Canis lupus familiaris: one gene and its partners. The protein of the gene in region 3 purifies or fractionates together with the protein of the main gene of each other region. This does not show direct contact. Links are inferred from orthologs where the notes say so. Each region holds a gene or a part of one and is shown on either strand. Other genes may lie near its edges.

The links.
Region 1: the proteins of LCK (region 3) and SH2D2A purify together in Homo sapiens (co-immunoprecipitation; 3 studies listed by IntAct, with this or other methods). This does not show direct contact. The link is inferred for Canis lupus familiaris from reciprocal best matches to the Homo sapiens genes LCK and SH2D2A.
Region 2: the proteins of LCK (region 3) and UNC119 purify together in Homo sapiens (affinity purification with western blotting; 3 studies listed by BioGRID and IntAct, with this or other methods). This does not show direct contact. The link is inferred for Canis lupus familiaris from reciprocal best matches to the Homo sapiens genes LCK and UNC119.

Annotation. Positions count from the first base shown.
Region 1 is NC_049228.1:41,165,196-41,171,211, reverse strand, and holds the start of SH2D2A (SH2 domain-containing protein 2A), read right to left. Parts: upstream 3,464-6,016; 5' UTR 3,348-3,463; coding exon 3,314-3,347; intron 2,779-3,313; coding exon 2,564-2,778; intron 1,698-2,563; coding exon 1,513-1,697; intron 897-1,512; coding exon 807-896; intron 647-806; coding exon 478-646; intron 1-477. UniProt on the Homo sapiens protein: Could be a T-cell-specific adapter protein involved in the control of T-cell activation. May play a role in the CD4-p56-LCK-dependent signal transduction pathway. Could also play an important role in normal and pathological angiogenesis.
Region 2 is NC_049230.1:42,728,802-42,734,471, forward strand, and holds the start of UNC119 (protein unc-119 homolog A), read right to left. Parts: upstream 3,469-5,670; 5' UTR 3,393-3,468; coding exon 3,167-3,392; intron 1-3,166. Other genes in the region: PIGS (GPI transamidase component PIG-S), read right to left, coding at 5,099-5,374. UniProt on the Homo sapiens protein: Involved in synaptic functions in photoreceptor cells, the signal transduction in immune cells as a Src family kinase activator, endosome recycling, the uptake of bacteria and endocytosis, protein trafficking in sensory neurons and as lipid-binding chaperone with specificity for a diverse subset of myristoylated proteins.
Region 3 is NC_049223.1:68,358,971-68,364,811, forward strand, and holds the start of LCK (tyrosine-protein kinase Lck), read right to left. Parts: upstream 4,030-5,841; 5' UTR 3,872-4,029; intron 1-3,871. UniProt on the Homo sapiens protein: Non-receptor tyrosine-protein kinase that plays an essential role in the selection and maturation of developing T-cells in the thymus and in the function of mature T-cells. Plays a key role in T-cell antigen receptor (TCR)-linked signal transduction pathways.

The DNA of each region.
Region 1 (6,016 bases), on a different chromosome or scaffold from region 3:
TGTTCCTGCTGTATTGCCAGACCCTGATCGCTGGCTGGCACCTGTGTCCTCGGACTGCCTGACCACTCTGGGGGGAGGCACTCCCTGGTGTGCTCCCTGCCACACAGGCCCTGGTGGCACTCACTCTGCATTTCCTCTCTTCTCATACTTGATTGCTCCTATTCATCTGTCTTTGCTGCTGGTAAGTGAGCTTTGTGGGCCTGAGGCCTGTCTTGTTCATGGTTCTATTTCCAGGGCCTGCCAGCAGGAGCATTGTGCTGTAGCCCTGTAGCCCCTACTCAGTAAATAGTCCTTACTTGAAAACACAAATGACCCCACGTGCCTGCTGTCTTTGTGTGGCTGAGCTCATCCGTGAAGGACCCCTCCCCAGCACTCGAGGGGATCCTAGGGGCACAGGGTGGACAAGAGACCTATGGCTGCATCGCAGGGGGGGATGAGGTGGTGGCCAGGGTCCCTGGGGCCAGGGGCTGGGGGTACCTGGCGGGCCAGGGGCTCGGTGAGTTTCTCCCCATAGGGGCTGAGCGGGCACGCTGTGTAGTGTTGCAGCAGGTCCTGCAGCCTCACGTGAGCGCTGTCCTCGCCTAGCACCACGTGGCGCCCATCCCCAAGCTGGGCCAGCAGGAAGTGGCGGCAGCGAGTCCGGCTCCTGGAGGGCACCCATGGGATCAGAGCCACCTCAGGCCTGGCTAGCCACCCAGGCCAGGGTCTCTCTCCTTCCCAGCTGGCCCCTGCCCTTTCTGCATCAGGAGCACCCAGCCCACCCCGCTGGGGTGGCCAGGGCACTGCCCCTGCTCTTGCCCCCTCACCTGTAGGTCAGCACAAAGGTCACAGCGCTCTCACTGAACCGTACCAAGTAGCATCCCTCAGGCTTGGTCTCCAGCAGCCTCTCAGCCTCCCTGTGGGTGGTGGAGAAGACTTCTCCAGCCTCCTGCCTGTCCTGGACTCTCAAGGCAGACCCCAACCCCCAGCCAAGCAGACTCAGGTGACGTAGAAGGGTGAAGAAGATAGCAGAGAGAAGTGGGGTCTGCTCCCAGGTGCAGGGCCTGGAGAACACAGGGGCCAGAGGTCCCACCCAGGAGAGGTTTCATCCCTGCCTCATCCTGGAGGACACCCTGGGGTGACAAGAGGCTTGTAGATTTCCAAGGTCATGGGCTGAACTGGAGCAGAGGAGGCAAAGCTGAGGGATGCAGGAGGAAGGGCCTACCAGAGAGACAAGGAAGAGCAGAGGCTGGTGAGGCAGAAAGGTCAGGAGATCTGGGGGTCGGGGCGGGGCTGGGGGGGACCATGAGGTCTGGAGGGCCAGAGACAGGAGCCGAAGCTGAAATCCAGAGCGGGGGGAGGGGGTGCCTGTAGCCTCCCTGGTGACCTCCTCCAGGACAGATGCCTCAGACACTGGCCTGGGAGCCTCCAGGACTCATGGTTGGACTCGCAGCCTCCACACTCTGCTGGGCCTGGGCCCCAGGACTTGCCCTGCCCCTCTCTGGGCCTGTTTCCGCCACCTCTGTGACTCACCTCCGGGTGATGAAGCCGTGGAACCAGGCTGGGGCTGCCCCGTGCTGCAGGAGCCAGTGGGCCTGGGTCTTCTGGAACCAAGCCCGGGTCTCGGCCTGCAGGGACTGGCCTCCTTCCCCAAACACCTCATCAGCCTTCTCGGCATCCTCTGGGCTAGAGGCAGCCTCTTGGGGTTGAGGAGATGCCTGAAACAGGGGGAAGGTTCAAGGAGGGGGGGTTAGCCATGATGTATGGGCTTCCTCCTGACCGTCAGCCAGCTGTGCCTCTGCAGCCTCACCGCTGCTCCCCATCCCAGTTGCCCATTCTAGGCTATAACTACCCAGGAGGTGCCTTTCAGGGTCCAGCTTAAAACCCCTTCTTCAGCTGCACTTGCTTTTTTTTCCAGGGAATTTCTGCCCACTTCCCTCTGGGCCTGCAGGCCTTTTACCCAGTAGCAGTTAGCTCTTAACCTGAGTGTGAGGCTTCTGGAAGGACAGGCAGTCATTCCCTGGCCTGCAGGATCAGGGAGATGATGCTACAACCTCTCACCCCAGAGGACAGAACGAGGGAGGACTCAGCCTCCTGTGGGAGGGGCTGAGCTGGATCATAGGGAGGACTTTCTAATGGCCCCATGGGTGAGAGGGACGGAGGCCCAGACGCACTGGGCAGGTGAAAGTCAGGGACAGAGATGCAGAGGTCTGCTTCTGGGACTTGGTACCCTGTACCCTGGTTACCCTCAGACTCAGCCTGTGCATCCCAGGGATGGTAAGGGGACAATGCAATGAATGAAGGAGGTACTCCCCATCTCCCCTCCTACCCCCCCATCTCCCCTCCCTCTCCCTTCTCTCCATCTCCTCTCCCTCCTCCTCATCTCTCCTCCCTATCTCCCTCCCTCCTCCCCATCTTCTCTCTCCCTCCCTCCCTCCCTCCCTCTCTCCTTCCCTTCCTCCCTTCTTCCCTCCCTCCCCATCTCCCTTCCCTCCCTCCTTCCTTCCATGCCCTAGCCCTATAGGCAGCCCCAGATCATTCCTGCTTTTCCCCTATTGGCCTTTATCTACCCTCAAGTCCTCACCGATGGGAGGAGGGGAGCCAAGGAGGAAGTGGTGCCAGCCGGGTTCCCCCTTACCGCAGTGTGGACAGCTGGGACCCTGGGGCTGGGCTGGGCCTCCTCAGCCTTCAGGGCCTGGATCCTGGGCCCCTGGAGCAAGCCCAGGTCCTGGCAGCTCCTGCGGGGCAGCTCCAGGGGCTGGAAGGTGCTGAAGGTAGGGGCAGGGGCTTTGCCACTTCCTGTTAGCACAAAGAGGTCCGGGTAGGGGGATGGGGAAGAGGGGGGATGTCTGGGTGAGAGGCTACCTCTCCCCCGGGCTCCCAGGAGCTCTGTGTGCCTCTGATGAGAGGACAGGGACAGTGCCAACTGGGGGTCTCTCAAGGGGGAGGAGTAAGGAGTCCAGGAGGCACGAGCTGGCAGGGAGATGGGCATGGGGAAGCAGAGAGCCCCACAGCGCAGGTGTGGGGTGCGGGGCACAGCGAGGGGGTAGGGTGGTGTGTCTCTTCAGGGCAGACCTCTGCTCTTTATGTTCCAGATCCTCTGCTCATCGCCCTCCCTCTGCTAAGGAGCGCTCAGCAGACCCTGCCACCTATGTCCCCAGGGCTGAGCCGACTGGCGCCAGGAGAAGTAGTTGTAGGCTCCCTGCCCATCTGCCCAGCCAGTTCTGGCTTGGGGTGGGCCCTTCACCCCTGAAGTGGGAACTCAGGCCTGGAGACAGCAGGGGATCTGAGGGTCTGGATGTCCTTCCACCCGCCATCCAGGCTTCGCACTTACCTTGGGGACAGATCTGGGCCAGGGGGAGCTCCATGGAGCCAGGCTAGGAACTGAGCCCCTGGAGCAGGGTGTGTGTATGTGCTCTCAAAAGATGTGCACACTCAGCAACTCATCTCTCTCACCCCAGCCCCCGAGGGCAGGAAATGTCGCCTTACCCACAGCCCTAACCCTGGCAGAGGACCCACGTCATGGAAAGCCGTAAGACACTCGTCCCTCCTCCGGAAGCCAGGCCCCTGAAGGTGATGATGGTGTGATGCTGTGGTGGTGGGTAGTTGTGTCATTCTGCCCTTGGCTGTTGGGTATTGGGAGGTCCTTCCTGCTGTCTGACCTCCATCCCTCCTGTTTCTCCCTCTACTCCCTCGCTCCAATCTGGGACCACCTTTCCTCTCCCTGCCTCCCTCTCTGTCTCCCCCTCAGCTTGTTCTGAGCAGCAGCAATGGGGATGTCAACTTCAAAAGGATATTTGGGGTCCTGGGAGATTCCTACTCAGGATTGTGCTTTTAGGACATATGAGGAGTGACGCGGGCAGGGCTGCAACAGGAAGAATGTGGGGAAGACTTCTGGAAGGACTTTCTGAGGTCATACGAAATCTTTGAGATGAAGTGGGTGGGAAGGAAGGGGGGCTGGCTTCACCTTCCAGCAGATAATAGGACTGGGTTAGGGCAAAATCCGGCAATCCTGGGGGGTGGAGGGACAATCTGGAGGAAGGAGGGGAATCCAGAGGATGGAGGTCATGATCCGAAGCAACATTGTGAGCAGTTATTATAACATCAATGCTGACATCTTAAACTCTCCCTGTGCCTATATTTGCTGCCACACCAGAGACCAATCCCATTGCTCGCTCATTTGATCCTCACAAATATATGGGCAGGGAACATTACCCCCATTTCCAGAGGAATAAACTGAAGCTCAGGAAAGTTAAGTGCTATGGCCAGTTGTTTCAGTGTCTCAGAAGTTGGGATTAGAAACTAGACCTTCCTTTACTAACTTCACCATGATTTAAGCCAACAGTCCAGGACTAGGTGCCAGGCACTGTTGTTGGTCCAAGAACACAGAGAGAAAAAGGATCTTGCTTCAAGATGTTAGGTGGGGGAGCCAGGCCTGCCAACAGACACTTCCCATGAGGACACAGTGGTGTGAGTGGAAGAAGGTGGGCAAAGGTGTTTCTAGAAGAGGGACCAGCATTACAAACACCCATAAGAAGGAATGAGCATGCATACGTGCGTGTGGGCAGCCTTAGGGGACTGAGTGGCTGGGGCAGGGGCTGGCTTAGGGTCTGCAGCTGGATTATCTGCTGCTCTCTGCCCAGGAAGGAGTCTGGACACCCAGCTTACAGCCCGAAGTTACTTCCCCATCAGCTCCAGGCAGGGGAGCGCTTTCCCCACCGTCAATGCCCTACACGGCTGCCCACACCGCAGGACCTTACCTCCCCCCAGCTGCCTGCTGTCTCTTCCTGAAACATGTGGCCTTTCCCTGGTCCAGCCCCCCGGGGTTGGTGATGAGTCTGGTGCTCTCAACATGTTCCCCAAGCCCTTCACTGTATTGTAATGAGCCGGGGGTGGGACTGTGCCCTCCATGGCCCCATCAGACGCCAGGGTTCTGCTCTGTGCTCAGCTGTGCGGCTGGGAGTCCACTCAGCACAGCCCAATTCTGGAAACCCTGCCCGCCACTTTGGTGCACTTTGTGATGATTGCAACAGAAGCATTTTTCACCTTCCAAATGGAATCACTCCCACGCTCTTTGTCTGGAGGCCTGGGCGCAGGCCTGCAGCCTGAGCAGGTGCAGGGATGTCAGACACAGGTACAGCTGACCATTCACCGCAGCTCTGTCCAAATGCACCCCAGCTCTTGGCTCTTGTATGGGCCTCAACATCTCCTGGGACGGAGGTTGTTGGGAGAGGATTAGTTTCTCTGAGGCTCTGACTGTCTCTCCCCTTTGCCTGTGTCTTGTCCCCCTCTACCCCGGTGGTGGGGTCAAAATAGCAGTCCCTCCATCTCTCCCAGCTTCAGATGCTCCTCTCTGGAGGGGCGGCTGTGGGATTCCACCAGTAAGTGGGCGCTGAGCCAGCAGAGAGTACAACTTAGAGGAGTGGCTCAGGTACTGGTTCTTTGCTCCCAGTTCCTGGCACCATGATGGTCACTGTTAACCACTGTCTCCTCACGGCTAGGGCAAAAGTCCAGACCGCAGGCTCCTGTTCTGGCTGGGCTCGTGGAGGCCGGGGTCTGGGAGCCCCTCTGCCCTGCACACAGCTGGGCAGGGGTCAGGAGGGGCTTAAGAACACACATGCTGGATGGTTTGTGTGGTGCCCCCCATGCCCCCCCAGCACCCTTTCCCTGAGCCCCCACATCTATTAGTCTGAGCTGTCATAATGAAACACCACAGACTGGAGGGCATAAACAACAGAAATTTATTTTCTCACTGTTCTGGAGTCTGGAATTCCAAGGTCAAGGTGCCAGCAGGGTTGGTTTCTGGTGAGAACTCTCTTCCTGGCTTGCAGATGGCTGCTTTCTCGCTGTGCCCTCACATGGCCTTTTTTCTGTGCTGGCGCTGGGCAGGGCTGGGCAAGTACCTCAGGTGTCTCTTCCTCTTCTTACAAGGACACCCGTCCTATCAAACAAGGACCCCACCTTTATGACCCCATGTAACCTTAATTACTTCTTTAAAGGCCCTATCTCTCAATATAGTAACATTGGGGGTTAGGGC
Region 2 (5,670 bases), on a different chromosome or scaffold from region 3:
GTGGAAGATGAGATCACCTCCTCTCAGCGGTTTCTCTCCCATCCTGGAGTTGCGCGGCCTTATTCCAGCCTCTGCCCTGCCAGGGCGAGCTTGGTGACTTTGAGCCAGTTGGGCTCTGATCTAATGAGGAGTCCCAGCACGAGAGGGAAGATACAGCCCTGCTTTTGAGAACCTCAAGATATCCACAGTGCTTCCCTGGAGAACAGCCCCACCTCCAGCACATAGCTGCCCCTGGTGCTACATCTAGGAATGTCAGGCAAGGACTTCCCTGACCTGGGTGGTGCTAGGGTAGGAAAACAACCCCACTCCTGTTCCTCCTCACCCCTAACCCCCTCGTCTCCCCGTAAGCAGCTTATATAAGCCCAGCTCCCTTAAGCAGCTTAGCCAAAGCTCTGCTGACTCAAGCCCAGAGCCTCGAATATTGGAGGAAGGGGGCCACCTTTGCTCCTATCCCCTTGGATCTCCAAGTGGGAAGTCTTAGCAAACCAAGGGAACCCGCTTGAAGGTCATCTACCCAGCCTTAGCTCTGAGCTACCCCCATAGAGAAGAGTACCAAGTTTAGCCAGGAAGAGGGTGTGGCAGGTGCGCGTGGGGGTGTGCATGGGGGAAAGGGAGTCCTCAGGCCCAGAAGAGGAACCAGGAACAGTGGTGAGCTGTGGCTGAGGAAGCTTAGGAATATCAGGGCCTGATCCACCCCTCACTTCTGCACCAGCAACTACAAGTGCTCAGGGAGGTCTTGGCAACAAACAGAAAGAAACACTGTTGGGTCTGGTGCTATCAGCCTGCACAGCATCACATCCTCCCCATAGAGGCCCGGAAATCACCCACCAGGCCCCTAGGCCACCTCCTATTCCTCTGGGGCAGGAAGAGGAAGTGAATGTAAGGTCACTCTCTCTTCCCTAAGCTTGGGGCAGCCCCCTCCAGGAAGCCCTCCCGGGAGCCTCCTGGCACCCTAAGGTCCAGCAGGGCTTGGGGAAGGGCCTGATCTCTGGCCTGTCCACCACAATCCACAGTGGGGAGAGAGGAAGAGGAACACATGTGGGCAGCCCTGACCTCACCCTGTACACACCTTATTTTCACAGAATGTATGCACTAGTCCCAAGATGTAGAGAGAAGGTGCAGGGCACAAGGAGCAGACTCCAGCTCCCTGGAAAGCCCTTCCCTCTCCACATTCTCGCTTTGGGAGCCTCTCCTGTCATGCAGGAATGAGTGCTTAGAGTCCGCCCTCAGTCTCTTCTACTACACCTTGAATAAGCAGCCCTTTTGTCCTTAGAAGAAGTGAGGGAAGTGGGATGCCCATTGCTCAGAATGCCACACCCACACCCTCCCTTCTGCCAAGGGAAGGATGAAGCCTGCCCGGGGTCAGGGCAGATAAAGGGACAGAGTGGCTTAAGGCTCAGAACAAAACTGCCCCCCCCCCCCCCCCGCCCCTTCCCTCTGCTACAAATAGCTTCCTAAGCTGGATTCAGGGCTGGTAATCCAGGAAGAACAAACCTCAGACCTGTGTGATTAGGGTCAAAAGAGACCAGGGGGTGCCAGGATGGAGATCCCTGGAACCCAGGTCTCAGCTTCTATAGAGGAAAGGTTCCCATGAAGCCCCTTCCCCCACTCATCTCCCACAGATGCCCCATCTCTAAGGACTACGGATTTCCTCCAAATTAGGAGACACATGGCAGTACATGGGCTGGAAGCCCCTACAGTTACAAAATAGTCTCTAAAGTTACCTAAGACCCAGACAGGTCAGCTTGACCTCTAAACATCCTATAAGTTCTGCCCTCATTCTAAATGCTGCCATTGCCAGTTATAGCTCAATTGGCACTACCATCAAACTGGTCCAGGACCCCTCCCTCTACTAGTGTCTGCTTGGGCGAGGCAGTTCAGTGTTCTGGGGGCCCCGCCAAGAATGGCTGCTGCCTGGCTCAGAGAGGAGAAGCTGGTCCCCCAGGGACCCAGATGCACAGGCCTAGACCTGCCATTACAGTCCCCTCCACTGCTGTCTGGCAGCCTTGGGCTCTGCTGCTCCTGCAGCTCCAGAGCTCAGGTCTGCTCCAGCACCTGCCCCCTTCCACCAAAGAGGGGTCTCAACAGTGCTCTCACAGAGGGGCCAGTGCAGGATTCTGATAAATGAAACTACATTGGAGGACCACTCTCTCTCCAAATGCCTGTTTTTGAGGCTCAGCCACTGCCTCTGCCATGAGGCTTCGTAGCCCTTGTTCTCTGCCTGGCAACCTCCTCCCTTGTCCTGAATGCCCAGTTATCTGCCTCCAGGCAGCAGCCATAAGCAGTCCTGTGGGGCCTTCAGTACTATTGACAAAAGAGCCCTATTTACAGAGCATGCACAGCATGCGAGGCACTATGCAAAATCGGAAAATTAGTTTTCACAACAGCCCTATATAATAGGTGCCATTATCCCCCATTTTACAGATGAACATGCTCAGAGGTGAAATTACTCACCCAAGGTCACACTGCCAATTACATGGCATAGCTGGGACTTCAACCCAGGCAGTTCAGCTCAGAAACTTAACCACAGTGGGAGACTAGGCCTCCCGGAAGAAGACAGGTTAAGGGGGATGGAGGGCATTAACCTACTCCCTTGAGAGGGCCCAGAGCCAACCCACTGAGGTTTCCTGCCCAGTCCTTTCCTGGGGTTGGAGGATGGCCCCAGACTCTCTGGGTAATCTGGAGTGACGGCATTTAATGATCAGGGCGACTGGAGGGTCTTAAGGTCACCTAAGTAGCTCAGCCTCCTCCTAGCCTCCAGGGTGAGGACTGAGGACAGAATACACTCAGCATCCATCCTCATTATTGCAGAGAAAAGCCTCAAAGGGCTCGGAAGACTCTATGAGGAAGGGGTCACAGTTGCAGCTGCTGCCTCACCTCCACCATGGGAAAGGGGGATGGCCTCCTCAGAAAGATAGGAGTAGGGTGAAAATAAATATCTAAAGGGAGAAAAGGCGGGTACAAGGAGATCTCAGGCTGGAAGGCAGAAGGGTAGGGGATTCAAGCGAGGGGTACCCGGGTGGGGGAGGGGAGGCGGGAGTGGGGGGTAGGGCGGGAAAGGGGGCGGGGGCCCAGGCTCAGCGCACGGCGCACAGCGAGTGCCCCCTCCCGCGCGCTCTCCCTCCCGCCCTCCCGCCGCGGGCGGCGCTGCCTCGCCAGTGCTCACCGCCCGTGATCCGCTGCAGCCCCAGCACGTCCTCTGGCCCGATCCGCTGCTTCCTCTGCAGCGGCCCCGGCCTGGGCCCCGGGCCAGCCTCCGGCTCTGACTCGGACCCGGACTCGGATTCCGCCTGCAGCTGCGGCTCGGGCTTGGGCTCCACGCTCGGGCCAGGGGCCCCAGAAGCGGGCTCCGCCCCCGTCCCAGCCCCACCGCCGCCCTTTTTCACCTTCATGGCCTCGCGGGGCCACCGCTCGCTTGCTGCCGCGGCAGCTGCCTGCGCCGGCTGGAGCCGAGAGAAGGGGGAGCGTCCGCAGCCCCGCCCCCGGCCAGGGCCCCAGGTACCGCCCCGCCCCCGGGGGTGGGCCAGGCACGGGCCCCGCCCACCCCTGCGAACGCCAACCTGGGTCCACTCCCCCGGGGCCGGGTGGGGCCTCGCTTTGGGCTTCATTCATTTTTTCCGCTAGGTCCTGCTAGGTCCTTGAAGGGATCACTACCTCTCTTCCTTACTCGCGCCACTCTGTCCTTCTGTCTGCCCCTCAAGCAAGTTCCCGCCTCAGGATCTTTGCCTGGGATGTGCTTCCCCCAGATGGCTTCCTCTTCTGGTCTCAGTTCAAATGTCATTTGCTCAAAGGCCCCCCTCACACCCAATCTAAAGTACTACCCCTCAGTCACTGTCTGATCAGCCTGTTTTTTCCTTCTAATGCATTATCTGAAATTAATTTTACTTGTTCACTGACTCTTTCCCCAAAAGATCAGTTCCATGAAAGTAGAGATCCTGTCTTTGTTCTCTATAATACCTAGCATTTAACACAGTGGCTACTGCAGCCTGTGCTTAACATATTCTTTTTCTGAGTTTATGAATGAGTATTTGAGGGCTTACACTGGTACAAGCTATTGTCTTCCAGACCTCCTGCGAAAAAAAGCAGTATATGCTAACAGCTTTGTTGTGAAACCCTGGACATGCTGAGGGACAACAGCCTAGGCACTTCACTACAGGGCCCACAGGGCAGAGAGGCACAGCCTCCTTGTAGGGCGCATGGCCAGGTGGAAGCAAGGTAGACCTGTGAGTCCAGGTCAGATACTAGGAAACCATTACTTAGACACAAATGAAGAATGAAAGGTTTGCTCATACTTCATATCATTTCAATTCAGTCAACCAATGTTTATTGAGAGCTTACCATGTGCCAGACACTTTCATATGTTTATCACATTTAATCCTCATAACCACCTTGTGAGATATCATTGGTGCTATTTTAACAAGTGAAAAACTGAGGCTCAGGGAGATTAAGAGGCTTATCCAATGCTCCCCAGATGATAAGTGCAGAAGGTACAGAAACATCTGAATTCAGGCATGCTCGATCCCAAGTCTGAAACCTTCTCCACTGCACCACACTACTTCTATAAAAGGGTGAAGGGAAACTCTGCCACATGCGCAGCATCAGGCTACACCCAGTAGGCACAGCCAGCCAGGAGGGAGGGGAGGAAGGGAGAAGGTCCCAGGGGTGACCTGCTCCCTTCCGTGAGAGCAGTGCTAAGGTTCTCCCTGAGGGGTTGGAGAGAAGCATGGAGGGGAAGGGGCTAGAATCTGACCCAGGGCTTTCCCCTAATGCTCCCTCTGAGTGCAAGAGGACTGCAAGGAACAGGACAGAAGCACAACAAACTGTCCCTGCCCTGGAGGGAGACAGGGGAGGGCCTTCAATTTCAAGCCAGATAAGACCCAAATGATGCATCTTCTGGGGGGGGGGGGGGGGCACAAAGGTTGGGGGAGAATCTGAGCTAGAGAGATGGGAAGGGAAGGGAAAATGAACCCTGCTTAGAGTGCTATACTTTGGTTATAGGAGCCAAGTCCTTCACGGCAGGCCCCCTTTATGTGCCTCTCAATCTAACACCTTCCATCCTGGCCAGAAAGGAAGGCTTCTCACTGAAATGCTGTCCTGCTCAGTCTATTTTCTCAGGCTTTTTCCAGGACTTGCGGGTTTCCAGGAAGATCTTGACCAAGGACAGGAGGATGGGCACAGCCATAGGCAGGAAGAGTGGGATATAGATGGCAAACTTCTGGTCATCAGGAAAATAGAGGAGGTGGAGGAGCGAGGGATCAAAAAAGGCACGCTCCGAGGATGTCACCGCTTCCTGGCTGGCAATGAAGGCAGAGGCCAGGTGCCCAGAGGCCAACTCCTCTGCCGCCTTCTGGACTGCAGCTACAGCGCTGTACACCTAGGAAGGGGGCAAGGAGTTACCAGTATGTCCCAGGCACCAGTGAGGTACTGGGCTGGGAGGGGGGATGGGACTTACTGTGTCTTCCATCAGCCAGGCATGTTGCCTGGAGTTTGCCCAGGATATGGAGGCCAGCATAAAAGGGCTATGGTGTATTTTTTTAGCGCCTGCTTAAAACTTCACACCCCATCTGGAGTCCTACTGGGGACCTGGCACTGCCCGCTAGAGGAATCTTGGGGCACTCAAGGATGGCATGCCCACACACACCCTGGGCATTATCTGGCTCTTTGGTTTCA
Region 3 (5,841 bases):
AAAAAATATGGCAAGCAAGTTACAAAACAGAATGTAGAATAGAAGCCTATTTGCATTTAAATATGTGTATATATATATATATATAGGGGATTCTTTTTTTTTTTTTCTTATAAGGTATTCTTTTAAGCCAGGATCTGTGCTAAGCTTTTATTTGCATGTTTTCATGTAATTCTCATTATAATCCTATGACGTGACGTAAAGGCTATTATTATACCCATTTTACACATGCAAAAACTGAGGCACAAACAGCGTAAAGCTATTTGTGTGAGGCCTCATAACAAACAAATAAGTGGCGGAGTAGTGAGCTGAACCTTGGTCTACTTGCCTCCAGAGACTAAGCTTTGAACCACTACCCTTTTCAGCAGCTGTTCATAGGAAAATCTGGAAGAATGCACACCAAATCGTTCTCAGTGAACACATCCCAGAAGTGAAATCAGAGGGGGCTGCTTTTTTATATTTCTTTTTATGCCTCTGTACTGTTTGAGTTTTTAACGACAGCCATGTGCTAATTTTGTAATTGAAAAACAAAAAACAACAAACCACCGCCAACGCAGAAACTCTGCCAAGAGACACAATCATTTGAGGAGATTCACTGCATAGCCTACCCTTCCATTCTTCTCCTTGTCTCAAAGGTAGGCGTGGAATGGGTCATCCAGGAAAAAAGGGTTCTGTGTCCAAAGTAGTTTGGGAAACGCTAAGTTAGACAGAATGGATCAGGCCCCTTCTCTGGGGGAACTCTCAGAGTGCTAACAAGCTGACTTGGACTGAGAAGTTAATATGGGCCAGTCTGTAGCTGAGGCCATGTTGATTTGGCCCCAGAATGATTCTCTTTCCAGGTGCCTCATGGAACTGGTATTCTTCAGAACAAGCATTGGAAGGGCACCTGGGTGGCTCAGTCGGTTGGGCATCTGCCTTTGGCTCAGGTCATGATCTCTAGTCCTGGGATCAAGCCCCGGATCCAGGCTTACTGCTCAGCGGGGAGTCTACTTCTCTCTCTCTCTCTCCCTCTCTCTCTGCCCCTCCTCGCTGTTCGTTCTCTCTCAAATAAATTAATAAAATCTTAAAAAAAGAAAAAAAGAGGGATCCCTGGGTGGCGCAGCGGTTTGGCGCCTGCCTTTGGCCCGGGGCGCGATCCTGGAGACCCTGGATCGAATCCCACATCGGGCTCCCAGTGCATGGAGCCTGCTTCTCCCTCTGCCTGTGTCTCTGCCTCTCTCTCTCTCTCTCATGAATAAATAAATAAAATCTTTATTAAAAAAAAAAAAAAAAAAAAAAAAAAAAAAGAAAAAAAGAGCAAGCGTTGGAAATGCAGCGCCAGCTACATTAAAGCCAACACCAAAGTTTGTTATTGGAGGCCACCTCTCTGGATGGTATGTTGGTCCTCCCGGCCCCCATCCCACCCCCACCCCCAGCTCCCCTCAGCATTGCTTTCACTGAACTGAGCTTGGCCTTGAAGTCACCGACCTGTGGGGGTGTGTATAGATTTGTTAAGATCCAGTGTATGTTGTGTGTATAGAACCTGCTTCTGCCTCTGCCCATTCGTGCACACATATATTTTCTGGTGATATGTCTCGTGTTTGGGATAGGGTGAGTGTGAAGTTGTGTGTGGGGAACTCTCATCTAACGCTGAGCAGACTCTGTGGCTCAGCTTAGAGTTCTCACTCCTACTAAACACAGGAAACAAGCTTATTTGCAAAGCCACACCACAAGTGTGAGGGAATGGTGGTGCACTGGCCAGCCAAGGTGCTGAATAGGTGTAATTCTGGGTGTGAACAGTCTTCCCTTTGGTGCACTATTTACAGGGGAGGGACTACCTAACCTCTGTTAAGTACCTACAATGTGTCAGGTACAACCCAGGGCATGTCACAGGTCCCCACAAGCATTCTGTAAGGGAGAGATTTATTATTGCCTCTTCACAGATTAGTGATCTGGAGTTGGGAGTCTGGAGGATGAAGTCAATATTGTTCAGGGAAATGCCAGGACCAAAACTGTATCTGGGTTGGCCTAACCCTGAAACCCATGTTCTTTGCACTATACCATGTCCATTAACTGTCTGGTGTTTGGTCTTGCTCTATTCTCTTGCTTCTCAAGAAACAGAAACCAAGGACAGTGCCCTTGGCTATGTCATAACCTCTTTCCAAAATGGGCCTTTGTCCTTCTCAGAACTGTGTTGACTTCCAGGGAGCCTTCCAGATCACCTGAGGGAAGGCTGTTCTCTGAGAACCTCACCTTTTTCTCTTGCCCATCACTTGGTCCTTAACCCTTTGAGGAGAACCTCTGTCCCTGAGCCATGAAGGCAAGGGACCCTGAGTAATCTATCAGCACATGCTGGATGAGAGAGGTGCAAGTCCAGGGTGTAGATGAGCCCCTCTGAAGCACAGGGAGGGTTCCCACAAAAGGCTACCAGCCTTGGACTTGGGGACAAGAGAAAGGCTGGGATACGCTGCTGACTAGGTGGAAACTATGTGTCAAAAAAATTCCAATGGTGGAGGGTAGGGTGAGGGAAACCTGGAAAGTCTGGCTCACATGGGGATGCCCCCCATAAACTGAAGGTTCAGAAGAAAGTGAGGGGGTGGGCAGGTAGCTGACTATGCCTTCCTGGGCCTCCACTTCCCAGGGGTTTGAAGCAGCAATCAGTAGGACCAACTGGTCCTACACATGCAGTGGGGGGTAGGGGTGAAACCAGAGGAAGGGGGTGGGCATCCCATGACACTCAGCAGGGGCAGGAATGGCAACTTTCCAGATGGAAATGCAGACGTTCTCTGCCCAGGGCCAACTGCACCCCAGTCTCGGATAAAAATAGCCCTTCCTCTGCTCTTCCCTTCCCATTCTCTGTCCTTCGACTCCCTGACCTCCAGTCAGACACTTCCGCCCTGGAGGCCCATCCCAGATGATAAACATACCCTCACGTATCCAGCAGCTTCCGAAGAAGACACCTCTGCCTCTCCAGCGCTGCTGGTCACTGAGGCTAAAATCACTTCTCACGTGTCCATCCGGATGTTCCGAGGGATTCCTCTCTCTCTCTCTCTCAATCTCACTCTGTCTCTCTCAGACGATTCCTGTCCCTGGGGTCTGCCCCAGCAATCAACAGGATTCCTGGGTCCCCTGACTCAAGCCTATCACCCTGCCCCATGGGTGGGGGGTAGTACTAGCCTAGGCCACCACCCTCTCCCAGAGACTGACCCTGCCACTGCCTTGCTGAGTACTGTGGGGAGGGAGGTCTTGCCTTCTCTGGGCCTCAAGATGTTCACCCATCATCGGATCAGGGGCTGAACTTAGGGATCTTTCTTTCTTTCTTTCTTTCTTTCTTTCTTTCTTTCTTTCTTTCTTTCTTTCTTTCTTTCTTCTTTCTTTCTTTCTTTCTTCTTCAATATTTTATTTATTTATTTATTTATTTATTTATTTATTTATTTGAGAGCGAGAGTGAGTGAGCATGAGTGGGGTTAGGGGCAGAGGGAGAGGGGGAAGCAGACTCCTTGCTGACAGAGGAGCCCAATGTGGGGTTCGATCCCAGGACCCTGAGATGATGACCTGAGCTGAAGGCAGACACTTAACCAACTGAGCCACCCAGGTGCCCTTGAACTCAGGGATTTCTGAGGCCTTTTTAAAATACCTGACAGTCCATGTGCCAGATCTCTAAGAAAATGCTCCCAGTGAGGTAGGGACCAGTGACTGACGGTGTGGCAGGGGCAAGAGGTGATCCAGCTGAACTGTATGAGGCCCACCTGACCTCTAGCAAGATTTTTCTATTCCCCAGCCTGTAGGGCTGCTGGATGCCCAGGGAGCCCAGCCCCATGCCCATGCCCAGGTGTAGCCCCCACTGTCAGGCTCCCAGCACAGCCCTGAGACCCCTGTTCCCAGTGTTCCTTACCTGCCCGGCCCGGGAGCCCTCTGGTCCCATTCACATGGTCCTCCTGGCTTGGCCTGGCTGCTTACACACGGTTTTGGCTCCCCTTGCTAAGGTGGCCACCGTCTGTCTTAGCGCGCCCACGTCCCACCCTGACTTCCTGCCTCCTTCTGAGGGCTCCGCAGCCAACCGGGCCCCAGCAGCCCAACCACAAGCCTCCGGCACCCCAAGCTTCCTGCTGTTAGAGCCCCCCACTCCTCAGCCCCTGGGGGTCCTAACCATCTCCAGGCCCTCCTGAGGGTGGCACTTGGAGCTGAAGAGAGGACACTTGATGGAACCTCCCTCCTGCCCCCCAGGGAGCACCTGGACAAGAGAGTCAAGGGCAGCCTTTATACCCCAGTGAGCAAAGGGTGAGCAGACACACACTTAGCTTTCAGTGAAAGGCGAGTGGCACAGCTGTCACAGTCTGAGAGCTGAGTGAACGTTTCATTGCAGTCTAGAGATGGCAAAGGTGACCCCATTTCCAAGTCAGAGGAGAGAACACTAGCCCTGTTAAATAGTTGGGGAGCCAAACATCCTATGCTACAGTCAGATGTCAGGCTAGTACGGCTGCCTAGCAACTGTCATGCCATCTCAGGGCAAGGGACAACAACTTTACTAGAGTCAGAGGGTAAGCTTCTTACAGACAGAAGGCTGGACAGCAAGCTGTTTAAGCAAGCAGGCTAGACCACCTTGTGTCTTTAGAATGACAGATTAACAGCTCCTGCTGGGGGCAGAGGACAGGCTAACACCCACTCATCAGGGCGACACTTCTAATTCAGGAAGAGGCAAGGTCACAGCCCCTGTTAGACATGTAGGGCCTGCCACCATCTCCTGCAACAGGTGGAAGGCAGACAAACACTCCTGCCCAGGCACCCAGGTGCCAGCCGCTGACTGGCAGGTCTTTTCTGTTAGAGGCAGGACAGAGAAGCCTTGTCAGGAGCAGCAAGCAGGCTGAGAATCTCCCTTCCCCCTGGGCCAAGCTGAGGGTGGCACCCATCATAGGTTAAGTGCCAGGTTATCAGTGTTATGAGGAACTCTGGACGGTCTCTATGAGGCACAAGAGCTGGGCCTTGGCCCCACCCATAGGAAAGTATAAATGTGTCACAGTCACCACTGCTGGAGCCCACACTTAGCGAGCAGTTTGGGGGAGGGGAGCCCACAGAGCATTGTTGGGGTTTGTGAGGTGGAAGCTGATGCTGTGTGCACCTCAGCTGCAGAGGGAAGGGGGAGACAGGAAATGGGTGGGGGGAAGAGGAAGCCTGAGCTGGAAAGTCAGACAAAGAGGGTAACACAGAAACAAAGGCTGAGGAGATATGTTGTAAAAAAAACCTATGGTGACCCAGAGCCCTGCACAGGCCCCTCTGGCCTTCAGCACAACAGCATTCATACCACTGGCGGAAGCAAGGATCAGCAAGAGAGAGTTCATGTTTTTTGAGTGTTTAAGTGTTGTCTCACTTCAGACATCCCCAACTACTTGTGGAGTAAGAAATAGCATTTCCAGTTTAGAGGTAAAGAAACAGCTGCCAGCTTAGGGACATCCTCAAGGTCTGCTAGAAATGCATGGTGGAGGGGCGCCTGGGTGGCTCAGTGAACCGGTGGGCGTCTGCCTTCAGCGCAGGTCATGATCTCAGGATCCTGGGATGAGCCCCACCTCCAGCTCCCTGTTCAGAGGGAGTCTGCTTCTCCCTCTCCCTCCACCCCACTCTACTTGTTCTATCTCTCTCTCAAATAAATAAATTAAAAAAAAAAAAGCGAAAAGAAAAGAAATGCAAGGTGGAGCTGGCTTTGAACCCAGGTCTACTAGGTCCTACATTCTTCAGCTGCCCATTGACCTGTCACCTTCCATAGGGGTGATTCAGGATTTCAAGCTCTTGCCCAGTTCTGAGCTTGATAAGATAGAGAGACAGAGCTGGAGCTGGGAGAGATATGGGGATCCATCTGTTCATCTCTAC